Linked DNA regions of Mytilus edulis. The protein of the gene in region 2 purifies or fractionates together with the protein of the main gene of each other region. This does not show direct contact. Links are inferred from orthologs where the notes say so. Each region holds a gene or a part of one and is shown on either strand. Other genes may lie near its edges.

Region 1 (7,157 bases), on a different chromosome or scaffold from region 2:
TTATCATAAATTTTTGTATTAAGCTTCCCGTTTATGATATAGATATCAAGATCGAGGAAAGGGCAGTGGTCATTGTTATCATTAGCTTTATTTAAAGTAAGTTCTACAGGATAAATTTCTTTAGTATACATACTGAAGTCGTCATTATTTAGAGGTTCATTTGATCTGAAGTAAATAGGATTTGGAATACATTTAGTAACAGTGTAACACTACTCCTTATTATGCACAGTGGTTATATTGAATGTTTTTTTTCTCTCTAAACCATCAAAACCATGCAAATTCAACATTAAACTCATTTAAATCTCAATTTTTTGTATGTTGGTCGCTAGTAGCTTTTCAGCGCAAACTAATCGAACTTATGTGTCTTAATTTAAATAGAAAGTGATTTTTAAATCTAATATATGCTAAAAAGAAAAGTGTGTGGAAACAATTCTGTCTTTTTCGTTTAAATGTTTGGTGTTACAATAGGTGATTTAAAATAAAAATATTAAATTGTTTTAAAATGTTTCCTTTTGGGACCAATATTACCTTTAACAATTCTTTAGTTTCTACATTCCACAGTTTTATTGATCTACCAGCAGTTAACAAATGATTGGAGGAACAAAGACACATTGAATGCACACTTCCTTTATCAGCTTTCCATTTGCTGAAAAAAAGTATAAAGTGTTTAAAAATGATATGATAAACCATGTAAAATTATATCTTGTTGTCTTACTAAATATTACAATTAAGACATAATTATTCATATATGTTTTTCATCAATTGAGACTTACAAAAATTCTCCTTATAGATCCATACACTCAGGTAAATCATTTTCCAGTTTCATAACTCATTCTTAATTTGATTTCAGAACCTGTTTTTAGAATCTGTTATTCATTTCGTGAGAAGATTTGAACAAGACTGGAAATTTCTTCTTCAAATAATGCAATTTCATAAAATTAGCTGGGCTAAAGAGGATAAACGTCTGCATTATACTGGACTGTTATGACATCCCTAAAGCTACCTACTGTCTAACACTAGCTGTAGAAACATCCCATTGGATGACATTGTGGTCGTTGCTACAACTGTACAAATAACCTTGATTTTCATCCCAACACAGGTCATTTACTGATTCACTGTGACCTTTATCCTGAAAAGAAATTTCCAAATAGGTATGAATATAAATTGGGCACCTTCTACTCCACATCATTTTTGAGGATTTTCTTACTAGTCTTTTTTAATATACAAGGGAAAATATTCCCTTTTTTTCCTCAGCCATAAAAATTATTTGGTTTACAGTTTTCAAAGTAATCAACTACTAATTTTGCTTTAACCTAAAAAAAACAATAAAAACAAGAATGTGTCCACAGTACACGGATGCCCCACTTGCACTATCATTTTCTATGTTTAGTGGGCCGTGAAATTGGAGTAAATTCTCTAATTTGGCATTAAAATTAGAATGATCTTATCAATGGAAACATGTATACTAAGTTTCAAGTTGATTGGACTTCTACTTTATCAAAAACTACCTTGACCAAAAACTTTAACCTGAAATTTGCACTATCATTTTCTATGTTAATTGAACCGTAAAATTGGGGTAAAAACTCTAATTTGGCATTAAAATTAGAAAGATCATATCATAGGGCACATGTATACTAAGTTTCAAATTGATTGGACTTCAACTTCATCAAAAACTACCTTGACCAAAAACTTTAACCTGAAGCGGGACAGACGGACGAACAAACGGACACACAGACCAGAAAACACAATGCCCCTCTACTATCGTAGGTGGGGCATAAAAATGCTACATTTTTCATGGAATAAAATGTGGATTTAAAAATAAAATTTTAAACACTGCTAGAATAGAATTCCTCATTAGATGGATAGTTTTTCAAATTTATTTTGTAAACTTCCCAATTTTATGGGTTGTCCCAACCTGTCAACTTTAAGTCATACATCATGTACATTAAGTGAAATACTACATGTACTACCGTCATTGAATGGTTAAGGATATAATTTTGTTGATGCTAAATGCTACAATTACATATTAGTACCTACCAACTGACTCTGTATATCTGCTTTTACAATACTGTACAATAAAATATTTCCAGAACTGGTTCCTATTGCAACAATATCATTTTTCTCTTGTTCAGCTGAATCTTCTGATAATGATTTCCTTTTTTTCTTTTTCTTTGGTGTTTTCTTAAAATATAAAAAGATAAAATCATGTTGACAAGCAATTTACATTTTTACTTTCATTTTGAAGTAAATATCATGTCAGATCAATTTATATTTGGGGAAAACTCATCCTTGAAACAAAAGGTGTCATAAATAATTAAAAAGAAGGTCAAAGTCCCTCAACTCCAACAAATGGCCAAATAAAAATGTTGACATTAGATATCGTGAAGAGAATAAGATGACAAATAGTATGCAAACTTTATGTCAATGACAGTGATCGCAGAGTATTGTGGCACATGTTGACCATATTCCCCTTGCAGTAGCACAAGCCACAACTGGCACAAGGGACAAATGGCAGCAATTTTTTGAATCACTAATTCAGTCTAAATCTGATGACAGGAATCATGACACATCCCACTGATGGATAGTTATATGATGGTGCATATGGTCATGGTTTAATTAGATTCCTACAAAACATATTTTCAATATTTCCAGGTTGCCAATAAAAATCCAATATCTTTTTTCAATTGCTTCATGAATAGTTAATATAATGATAACCTTAGGTCAATCATTCTTATGTAAGAAAATTGGTTCAACTTCTAACTTGAGTATATCTGTTTAAAAAATAAATACTGCTGATTTTGAATTTATCTCTGACTTACAGCACTGGGTCTCTTAGGACCCCATGATAAACAAGTACACGTTGCTGTCAGGTGTGAACTTGGAGTATACTGTTGACTGATTTTTGAGGTCGATGTATCATATACTTTAAGAACGCCGTCAGGACTTGAATACATGCAATATTCTCCATTTGAAGAAAAAGATACTGGTGTGGAAAGTGCCATTTTCAACACGTGTTCTAATATACGCATGCGTCAATTTTCTAAAGGTTATTTCCGTTTCCTGCTTGTTTCACTTTCAGCTGACTTGTTGTTTACAAAATATAAAAAAGTTTACGTGACATTAGTTCAGTAAACGATCAAGTTTTTATCAAAGTTTTAACTTAAATTAGAATGCAATCATCGGGTCTAACTCACATGCCGCACCCTTATTTGCTATGACAAAAGTTTTTTGAACTGCAGTTCTAGACAAGCACTTGTAAATATGGAATCTCAAGTACCACCACCTGATCGAAATGCTGAACCAAAAGATAGGTATCACAAGTGCAATTCGATTGAACAAAATGAAAAGTGTTTTTAATGCAGTTATTGCTTATTGGAAATGTGTTTTATATCAATTCATGGTGTTCCTTTTTCTGAAAAAGGGGTGCGGGGTGCATTATATACACCTTATGGCTATGTACATTTATCCCCGGCTTAGTATATATCTAGGATTTTGATTGGTTAACGCACGTCGTTACAAAACCCATAGCCCCTGGGTGTTGCTAACCCATATCCCCGGACGTTGCTAACCATTATCCCGGGGAACTCCGCGCAAGTTTCCCTTAGTTCCATGATTGCTCCTTGTGAAATATTGAATTCTGTAGAGTATCCATGATGTTTGTAATTAAATATTTAATTCATTAACGGGTTTGTCCTATATTATTCCGATCATGTACACTAATTTCATTAAATGCATCACTTGACTGCCACATTTCCTAGGAATGGGACGTCTATGCAAATGACCCACGTTGACGTCACACCATCTATGACGTAACTCTCACAACATTGAGCGCCAAATTTGACTCAATCCAGTTTCTCGGTCTCCGTATTAAAAACGTCTTATATTTCACTACCTGTAGGGTTCTACCAAAGGTAGTACCCTACACCCCGTAAAAAATATGTAAAATTTCCAAATTTCAATAAAACTTTTTTAGATAATGAAAAAAACGTTGTTTTCACGTTACACTTTGTACCCGAATTTCCATAAAACTCGCCCGATTCGGACTAAGACCGGGGATAAATTCGTTATCTACGTTCATATCTAATGAACGTAGATAACGAATTTATCCCCGGTCTTTCCTAGGAAATGTGGCAGTCAAAATTTCGGGATTTAAATTTCTTTAAATTCAGGACCTCAGGATTTTAAGCCAGGGATTTCGGGATCAGGAAATCTGTTCTGGTTGACCCTAGAATTTGCGTCTCTTGAAATTTGATGTCACACAACTATCAGTTTTCCATTGTGGCATCAAAATTATACTGAAAACCTTTGTTATGTCAAGTAACGGCACATACTATAAGTTATCTACGTTCATATCCGTAGATATGGATATTTTAACACCCTTCAGTACCCTGTACACCCTTCGGCTTCGCCTCATGATGTACTGGGGTACTTCAGGGTGTTAAAATATCCATATCTACGGATATGAACGTAGATAACTTATAGTATGTGCCGTTACTTGACATAACAAAGGTTTTCAGTATAATTTTGATGCCACAATGGAAAACTGATAGTTGTGTGACATCAAATTTCAAGAGACGCAAATTCTAGGGTCAACCAGAACAGATTTCCTGATCCCGAAATCCCTGGCTTAAAATCCTGAGGTCCTGAATTTAAAGAAATTTAAATCCCGAAATTCGAAAAAAGAATTACAGTATCCCAAAATGATCCATCCTGAAATCTCCAGCTTAAAAACACCTGAGACCCGATTAAGGTCCTATCCCCCTCAGTCACATGTGTATGTAGTATGAGATTGCACAGATTTCCAAATAGTATATATAAAAAAAGGTGTGGTTATGATTGCCAATGAGACAACTCTCCACAAAGACCAAATGGCACAGAATTAACAGCTATAGGTCACTGTGTGGCCTTCAACAATGAGCAAAGCCCATACCGCAAAGTCGGCTATTAAAGGCCCAGAAATCGCAAGTGTATCACAATTCAAATGAGCATATCAGGTCAATAAATAGCCATAGATGTTTAAAGGGTACAACTATTTCCCCAAGAACTTCCAAATACGCAATATATATGAACCTTAGAACTGATAGAAAATTACCCGAAAACTTTTCTGTATATGCAGTAGTATTTCTGCTTTTATAGATAAGTCTACAATTTTCAGATATACATTGTATGTCCTAAAAGTAAAAATTATATTCCTGAATTTGATTTGCGTTTTCTTTTATACATGTTCACACACCTAATAACTAGCTAATGGCATAGATATTCATGATATTTTTTCTTTACAAAACTTTTGACTTGCTCTGGTTAAAAATTATGAGTCCCTGGAAAATCCTTACTGAGTACCTTGTGAGTCAATCATCATCTATATCATGTATTATAGTATATATATGCATTTTACCTATATGTAACATTATAAAAATAAGGAGATGTGTTATTATTGTCAAAAATACAACTATTGGCTAAAGTTTGAATGAAGTTGATGTAACTGGTTTCTCACTAAGGCGAGTCCATGAGTCCGGATTCATGAAAATCTGTCTGGACTCACCATTTTCAAAACTGGTGATTATAAAAAAAGAAGATGTGGTATGATTGCCAATAAGACAACTCTCCAGACCACAAGAGACCAAATGACACAGAAATTAACAACTTTAGGCATCGCATGGCCTTCAACCATGAGCACAGCCCATACTGCATAGTCAGCTATAAAAGGCCCTGATATGAAAATGTAAAAAATTCAAACGAGAAAACTAACGGCCTAATTTATGTACAAAAAATGAACAATATACAAATATGTAACACACAAACAAACAGCAACCTCTGAATTACAGGCCCCTGACTTGGGACAGGCACAGACAAGCAGAATGTGTCGGGGTTAAACATTTTAGTGGGATCCCATGGCCAGCCCTCCTCTAACCTGAGACAGTGGTGTAACACTAAAACATAAGAATAAACTTGAAAAATCAGTAGAAAAAGGCTTAACTCATGAGATGGATAAAAATACAAATACTACAAATACAAGTGGACATCGCCATTTACTTGTACATCCCAACAACAAAAAGACACTAAGTACAGATCTGAGAGTACTTGCAGTTACTGACAGCTAGCTAGTTCAAAGCCACTAACAACTAATAAAAAAATCATGCATCTTAGACTAAATTATTAAGCCCAGAAATGAATCAATATTGTAAAATTTTGTATAAACTAAACACATGTATCATCATTTTATAGCAAAAGTTTAAAAGTAATCTGAATTTAATGCATATGTCATTTCGTTGCTCTATTAGGTCATGGAGTATAAAATAATAAATTATATTGCAATAGAATATCTTATCTTACTGTTGGACTAACCATGGCCAAAAATTAAGAGTCCCAGGACTCTCCTTCAAAAATACTTAGTGAGAACCCATATCATCTATAGATCAAAACTACTGAGTAGAGAAACAATATTGTGAATATATATAATATTTTATCTAAATGAATACCTAGCTACCTGGAGTACATTGAGTTTATTTACATGTATCTTATATTTAAAACAACTATATTTTTGAATTTTAACAAACTTATGTTTCTACTTGCAGGTTGAATATTGTTTACATTATATTTTATGTTTTGGGAATCGGTTCATTGTTGCCATGGAATTTTTTCATAACAGCCAAAGATGTAAGTTATCTCTCTTAGTTTCTGTAAATTATATCTAAAGTGAATCTTGGTGAAAAACTATGATAACAGATCAGGGAGACAGATTAACACATGGACAATTTTGTTGCTTTAAAATAAATTGAAATTATTTTTATATGTCATCATTTCCATTAAAAGTGGTTTTAAATAAATAAGGTTGACTGAAGACGATACATATCAGTGGGTGATTCAGAAATTTTCATAAGTGGGAGCCCACTGACTGCCTAAGAGGGGGCCCATTCCGGTCATGCTTCAGTGAATCCCTATATAATCCCCCTGGCCCCCCTCTAAATCCGCCTCTGCGTATAGTCTGATTTACCAATCTATGATATAGTCAAATTTTGTACAAAAATACAAATCATAATTTGTACATAAAATATACAAAGAGAAGCTGGAAGGGGTATATGTCAATGAGACAGCAACCTAGCAAAACAAAACAAATCACAACTGGAGGTCAACATTCAGTCCAACAAGAGATGAGT
Region 2 (7,583 bases):
CATTTTATTAAGTTGTATTAAACATTATTATCATACTTGACTTTTTATACTAATGTATGCAATGTATATGTTTGCATTTTGTTTGATTTCTCATGATGAGGGCCTCAGGGAAGATTAGTTATATAGCTAACTGTGTAACCCTCTTAAAATAAAGTATTGTTGTTGTTTTTGTTGTTGTTTACCTTCTCCTGATACCAATCATCTCCAATGCTCCAGATCTCTATTGATGCATCAGATCTAAACAAAAACAAAACCAAAGAAGGGAAAATAGTAATTTGATGTATGTACGTGCTATGCTAAAACTTAATGCTGTAAAACACATTCAATACCCCTTTTTATGTAATTAATTAAGATACTTTGTCTTTTCTTGATAGTGATATTTAGTATTGCATCAGCACACATGATATATAACTACTGTGAATGTTTCATTTAAAATTGTTCTTCTCATTTTCCTTCAACAAGAATATTACAATCTACAACTATTAAGTTTTGCTTATTGCAATATTAATCTTGTTGCATTTTTCACATTGTTACACACATTAAATACATGAAATAATTTCTAGACAAACTTGAAATCAGTCAAATTCTAAGTAGGTCTGTGTTAAGCATGTTGAGTGGCCTCTAACAATATTACCAAATTTTATATGATTTGATTGAGGCTTACTGAAGTAAGCAAAAAGAAACCAATTTTCCGAACATACATATATAGGTATATGTATGTACTGAAATACAACTTTATGTTCCCATCCCCTATTGGCTAGAGCTTAAAATTTTTATTGTTTAATTACATGCAATTCAGTTTATTTTTAGAATCAGAATAAAAATATAAAGGTTTACATTAACTTACCTTGACACAGCCACTCGGTTTAATTCTTTATTATAATCTATACAATGTATGGCAAGCGGTTGGTAATTAAAAAATCTTATGTGATGTACTCTAAATTCACCCATTTCTTATAGATCTACAAAAAAAAAGTTTATACATTACTTACACATTCGCTTAAATATATCAGTTAAATATCGGTACCTTGAATGATTTTATTTTATTTTATTTTATTTACATAAATCTGGATTTACTTATTAGAAGTTTCGGATTCGGATGCTGACTTCATATAAGTGATTTGGACTTTCAAGCGCCAACTGATTTAGTTTTTGACGAGATCTATCCCTGTTATTGTTAAGGCACGCAAACATGCCTGGACGGGCCATTGCACGACCCTGTGCGTTCATGGGACGCTTCATGACAACACTAGCTGAGTCTTGTTATCATCATAATCCTCTCAAAAGGAAACTAAAACATGCTTCTATTCAATATTTTTACCGGAAATTTACTTTCGTTTTAATTCATTGCTAAGTGTTATGCTAAGTCCCTAGAAGTACGAAAAGAATAATGACGACATGGCTAACGCTAATTGGATAAAGGCAGAGAAGATCGAAATGTTTTCCTCACCACGTGTACCGTACCTTTAAGCAACGGAACATTTCAACAGGGACCCTTTCAACAATCTATTTTTAGAACGAAAGGACATTTCCGATTTTTAATATTACAAAAATAGATTTACACAACGACTATGTAAAAGATAAGGGTAAATAACCCACATGATATCGACTAAAAGCGTTAAGAACTCATGGTTTTGACAAATTATTGGGTTAATTTTTCTTTGCATGAATTGGGTTTTAGAACTCTGCAATGGGCAATTGCATTGGGTTTTCAATTATTTTTATTGCGTGATCATGCATATACGTAGCTTATCAAGAGCTCTGTTGATAAGAAAAAACATTACCTGATGATAGCGTTTCTTTGTTTACATTGAAGATGACGTCATAACTTAAATAACGTCACAACTAAAATCTTTTGAAGTTGAAATACATGAATGTTTGAATAAAAATTTAATTCATACAGACTTCGTCCCCATTCACCATGTTCACAGTTAAATTTTATGCCTGCCTCATAGTAATTTTTCGTAAACAATATCAATTTTTTGCATTTAATCTTATTGATTTAATAATTGTTCTTTATTTCAAATCCACCAATTTTAACAGTCTTCTATCGGCTGATTTGTTTGACGAAATCTATTATTTACATGTACATGTACCGAATGCTGATTCACTACATGACACAATAAGCTGTCAATCATTTCAAAAAATCAATAATCGTGCTATCGGGGCATTGAAATCTTAACAGATCGATCAGTTTCCAGTCCTGTTACTGTTAGTATATTATGGGGACGAAGTCCCCAATAACAGTAGAAAATTCAATAAAAAAAAAAATTTGGGATAATTTCCCGAATTTTTCATTGTACTAATGAACTCAAAATCGTTCAATTTTTTTTATGTCATGTTTTGAAATCCCGGACATGCGCAGAAATGTACAATGTACTTTCTTTTTCCGGTCTCGTTTGTATGAAACTTTGAGTAAAATATATATTTATCAGTCTAGTATAAAATAGGAAGGAACGCGCAATACCAATTTCATTTTTAATAATTCCTTGATATGAAAAAACGTTACCTGATGATAGCGTTTCTTTGTTTACATTGCATATGACGTCATAATTTAAATAACGTCACAACTAAAATCCCTAACAACAGAACCAAAATCGGAAACGTTTCGGTATTTCCGTTTCTTTTTTTTTCAACAAATATTTACATTTAATCGTCCCCATTTACAGGTAATGCCTGCCTCATATTAGTTCAAGGTACAATCAATACTAAAATAAATTTTGGTGTCTGAATAAAAAAATATTTACATATTCACAAATGATTTACAAACTGACGAAGATGCCTAAATATAATGACTTTGGTACTACTTTTTAACTGATAATGTATGTGCATGTAAAAAATCACATTTTTACATGTTTAGATAAAAAGTAAAACTATATTAAAAACATTGTCCCTAGCACTAGGCCTAGTAAACAGACATATTTTTTGCTATGGTCTGTCAAACAACACCACTTCGGCACTTGTTATTTACAAACTTTACCTATGGAAAGGGAAACCTTGACCATCAAATATGATAAAATAAATCAGGTGTGGACAGTGCTAAAGATTGTAAACAATTATCGCATGTTTTCAAATGGGCGCAGCCATGTTGATCTATTCTAAATGCAGGACTGGATCTCGGATAAGGACAACGTTTATATTCCGCGTTACCAAAATTTGGAAAACAATTGTGAAGGATTTTCTTATTATGGGACTATAAAATCAATGCATTAACCCCAGGTTTAGACTACTTTCTCATTTATTTTCAAATAAAGCATATTGCGTTTGATAATGACATCTAGTCAAATCGGCACTTGGTTAAATTGGCATCTGGTCAAATCGGCACCTGATATACAAATGCACTTTTCTCATGATTTTTTCCCCCTATATAACTTTGTGTTATATAAAAGTATAAATTTCTATATGTAATTTCTCTATACCTTGTCAAAATGATGGTTTATTGAAAATAAAAGATATGTAGGAATTTTTTCTGAGACGAGTGCCTGTGCTGGTAGGTAAACGGACAGAAAGTCACAGGACTAAAAGTCACAGGACATAAAGTCACAAATTTGATAGGACAAAAAGTCACAGGACAAAACGTCACAAATAATTTGTTGACAATTGATTGGATATATTGGAAAAATATCTTGAAATATTTACTTTTTAATACAAATATTCATATTAAAGTTTAGGAAATGTGTCATTATGATTGAAAAAATAAGATTTATTTAATTTTAATCATGCAAAGGATATATTTCTTAGTACATTTTTTTTTCTATTAACAGTGATCATCTTTGATAATTTAAAAAAATATATAAATTTTGTTTACAAAGTTGGTTTATATGCAATAGTTTAAGAAAAATACAAAAATGTTTTTGTGAAAATACAAGCATTATTTTCTTTTTTTCTTTTTTAAAGAAAATAATGCGGAGAAAAAAATGAGTTGTGACTTTTTGTTCTGTGACTATTTGTCCGTGACTTTTTGTCTGTTACATTTTGTCCAGTGACTTTCTGTCCTACATTTGTTAGTATAATAGTCCAAGGTATTTTACAAAAAAAAAAGAATAAAATAAAGAAGCCGGGGTTGTCCAGAAATATTAACGTATGATTAACACTTTTCAGGGGGTTTTCCGGTTTTTGTATGTAATTTTGTTCAACTTAATGTGTATTCAAAGTATTGGACATTTGTTATAAATGCATGTTTTACCCAGTTATGCATTTTCAATGATTGTTGTTTAATGCTGTTTTTCAGTAAACTCATGATTAAACAACATCTTCGGTAAAGGCTTCACTGTTTTTCATTTTTAACATCACTGAATAACTACCTGACGGATATATATATATAGATTATTTGCTGTTGATAGTGGGGTATGTTTCTTTTTGATACAGGCCCTGGTTGATTAATTTATATTCCTTGTGTGTGTGTGTGTGTGTGTGTGTGTCATTTTAAGGTTTTATGAATTGTTACATCTATCCACTGGCAGGAACATACTATGTTTGATATACTGTTCCCAGATCTATCGGTATTAAGCCGAGTCAGCCCATTATAATTTATGCGAGTACATTTTGGAATATGGCCTAAGCTCGTTTATCACATGTCATCTGTCATGGGAACGCTTGGAATTTGCTTTTACGGAATTCAACCATATCAACGTTAGTTAATAAATAAACTCATCATATCGGAAACAAGGAACACAATTTTGTATTTGCCCCAGACGCGCGTTTCGTCTACAAAAGACTCACCAGTGACGCTTGAATCCAAAAAAGTTTAAAAGGCCAGAAAAGTACGAAGTTGAATAGCATTGAGGACTAAAAAGTCCTTAAATTTTTGCCAATTACACTGAGCCAAAGTAATCTATTCCTGAGGTAGAAAAGTCTTAGTATTTAAAAAAATCAAAGGTTTGTAAACTGTTAATTTACAATTATGACCATATTAATGATAATTCATGTCAACATAGAAGTGCTGACTACTGGGCTGTTGATACCCTCGGAGAATAAAAACTCCACCAGCAGTGGCATCGACCCAACAAGTGGCTTAAAGGCAGTGTTCGTAAATAGACTCACCATCTAGATACCAGGATTGAATTTTGTGTTTCTGCCTAATGCGCGTTTCGTCTACAAAAGACTCATCAGTGATGCTAGAATCCACTGCTTGAGTACGCAGGCACAGTTTTGGATTCACTTTTTAACAACATTCATGTAACAATTAGATATTGTGCAAAGATGATCAGCCTTATCTGAAATGAACGACTACCGCGTTTGAGAGTGGACACCTCAAACCCCCTCCTACGTACGTCAGTCATTTGAAACAGCTAGGCGATAGGATGGCGAGATGAAGTTGGCAATAACAACACTAGAATATTATACCGCATCACTAATAACTATAGGGGCATGTCGCATATACGGCACCAGAACATCAACAAAATTATTTATGAAAGGGAAATTTTAAAGTAATAGTTCGTAATAAGCAGTAAGTTTGACCCAAATATGTTAAAATAAGCTCTAAACATCAGTGATGTATTATTCACTTGTAAGTCATGCCTGCCAACTGTCACTATTTGCGCCGGGGATATTTCCCCCATGAAAGCTTCCAAATTTAAATTTGAATGCGGAGCAATTTTGTCAACAATTTTAAACAAAACAATAAATTTCACCATAGCTGTAGGGTTTTCAAAGTATGAAGAAGCCGAAAAATAACAGTTTTAAAATACATTAGAAGGCCGCCTTGACGATTTTGTAGAGCCAACTTGCACACAAAACCCCCAATGGGCATTTGAAAAATTGGAAGGTATGGTAAGTCAATAATCGGCAGCCTGTGGAATCCGTATTCACGTGACCTTCAATCTAATCCCTTAGCTTAAGACTATGATCTCTATATGTAATAGGCATGCTTAGCTGTAAAAAGGAAAAGAATACCGGTCATCATTGAAAGGGAAACAAGGGTTAACTATTTCGTTGACTGATTCGATCAACAAACAGTATGCATTATACTACCGGCATCATTTTTGTATACGCATGTTTAAAATCTGCAATATCTAACCAAACAGACAAATTAAAAAAGTCACATAGAAAAAATAATCAGATGCACGTGCTTTTGATATCTATTTCAGTGGCGGATCCAGGGGGGGGGGGGGGGGGGGTTCCGGGGGTGCGCACCCCCCCTTTATTTTTGCCGATCAATGCATTTGTATCGGGACATATGTTTTGCACCCCCACTGCACCCCCCCTTTTGCCCTGGGTTAGCACCCCCCCTTTCGAAAATTCCTGCATCCGCCCCTGTATTTATATCTATACATAAGTTTATTATCGGTTGTATGACCGTCGGCAGTCGTTGGAGGTAATATCGATGGCACGTTAATTAAATGGTGGTCAACACTTAGATACACACAAAATGCTGATACATATCATAGAGGCCCATGTATTGTTAATCGTTAATTTTGGTTGACGTTTTGTTTATTATAAATTAAATGTGAGATTTTGAGATATATCAGGAAACATGGATTTGGCAGCTTATGCTTCAGGTAGTTACAGTCACATCTTCTTACCTTTGTTGAAAACTAAATATAAAATACTACCAACGTTACCGTGATGACCATATTATGATTTTGTCCTCGGAATTCGGTATTTTTGTAATTTTTCTTTTTACCTTTACAATTGTAATACATATCATATTTAAACAGTATATGCAAGATATAAACACATCATCTACAAGTTATCTTAAACAAGTTGTTAAAAAATTTAAATCATACGATAGCGGTAAATAATTTCACAAAAATTGAATCAACACTTTATCATATCGAATGTACACTTTACTGTTCTGTACAATCTGGTTTCATTGTAATTTTACCTACGGATATCAACAGTTTAAAATCGGAAACCAGTTATGTTGAATTAAATATTGCGGGAAAGAGAACTTGTTGACAAATGGTTCAAATTGAATTAAACATCTCCAACAGCGTTATCAACTACTTAAATCATGTTATGAACATTAATATATACGTACACTGGTTATAAGGTAATTCAATAAATACACTAATTATTGAATTTATAGGCAATTTCTTCTATAATCATGAATTTTCATGAAATAATTGCCATTGGACATAAGTCATTAACTTAAGCAAGCATTAATCAAACAGTCTCAGATAAAAAAAAAACCACCATCATAAATATATGAAAAGATACCAAGGCAGCACGGGCATCTATAAAAAAATCATTAACAATATTGTTAAACCAGGCATGCGCCGGAAAGTAATCATCAACCAGTTGATGTTTTTCTGTATATAAAGAAGAAGAAGAAGAAGAAGAAGTGGAAAAACCAACAACACCATAAAAAAAGGAGAAAACTATGAAACTATTTTACAACTATTGCCTTTATTTCTTCGTATTGGTGGTCTCTTGTTTGCCATAGAGGTCCAGAATGCGTTGGATCTAACTCCTGTGTGGTCTGACCGAGAACAGTAAAATCGGTTTTTGCTTCTGCACTCCTATAAAAAAATAAATAGATATAGGAAGATGTGGTACGAGTGCCAATGAGACAACTCTCCATCCAAGTAACAATTTATCAAAAGTAAACCATTATAGGTCAAGGTATGGCCTTCAACATG

Evidence for each region. The genes of interacting proteins can lie anywhere in the genome.
Region 1: the proteins of U3 small nucleolar RNA-associated protein 4 homolog (region 2) and WD repeat-containing protein 43-like purify together in Homo sapiens (co-immunoprecipitation; 5 studies listed by BioGRID and IntAct, counting the BioPlex papers as one, with this or other methods). This does not show direct contact. The link is inferred for Mytilus edulis from reciprocal best matches to the Homo sapiens genes UTP4 and WDR43.

The regions. Positions count from the first base shown.
Region 1 is NC_092346.1:5,602,269-5,609,425, forward strand, and holds the start of WD repeat-containing protein 43-like, read right to left. Parts: upstream 3,043-7,157; 5' UTR 3,030-3,042; coding exon 2,820-3,029; intron 2,182-2,819; coding exon 2,038-2,181; intron 1,130-2,037; coding exon 1,008-1,129; intron 647-1,007; coding exon 529-646; intron 1-528. Other genes in the region: equilibrative nucleoside transporter 3-like, read left to right, coding at 3,262-3,311, 6,576-6,657. UniProt on the Homo sapiens protein: Ribosome biogenesis factor that coordinates hyperactive transcription and ribogenesis. Part of the small subunit (SSU) processome, first precursor of the small eukaryotic ribosomal subunit.
Region 2 is NC_092348.1:88,492,267-88,499,849, forward strand, and holds the start of U3 small nucleolar RNA-associated protein 4 homolog, read right to left. Parts: upstream 3,111-7,583; 5' UTR 2,981-3,110; intron 963-2,980; 5' UTR 952-962; coding exon 848-951; intron 238-847; coding exon 183-237; intron 1-182. UniProt on the Homo sapiens protein: Ribosome biogenesis factor. Involved in nucleolar processing of pre-18S ribosomal RNA. Part of the small subunit (SSU) processome, first precursor of the small eukaryotic ribosomal subunit.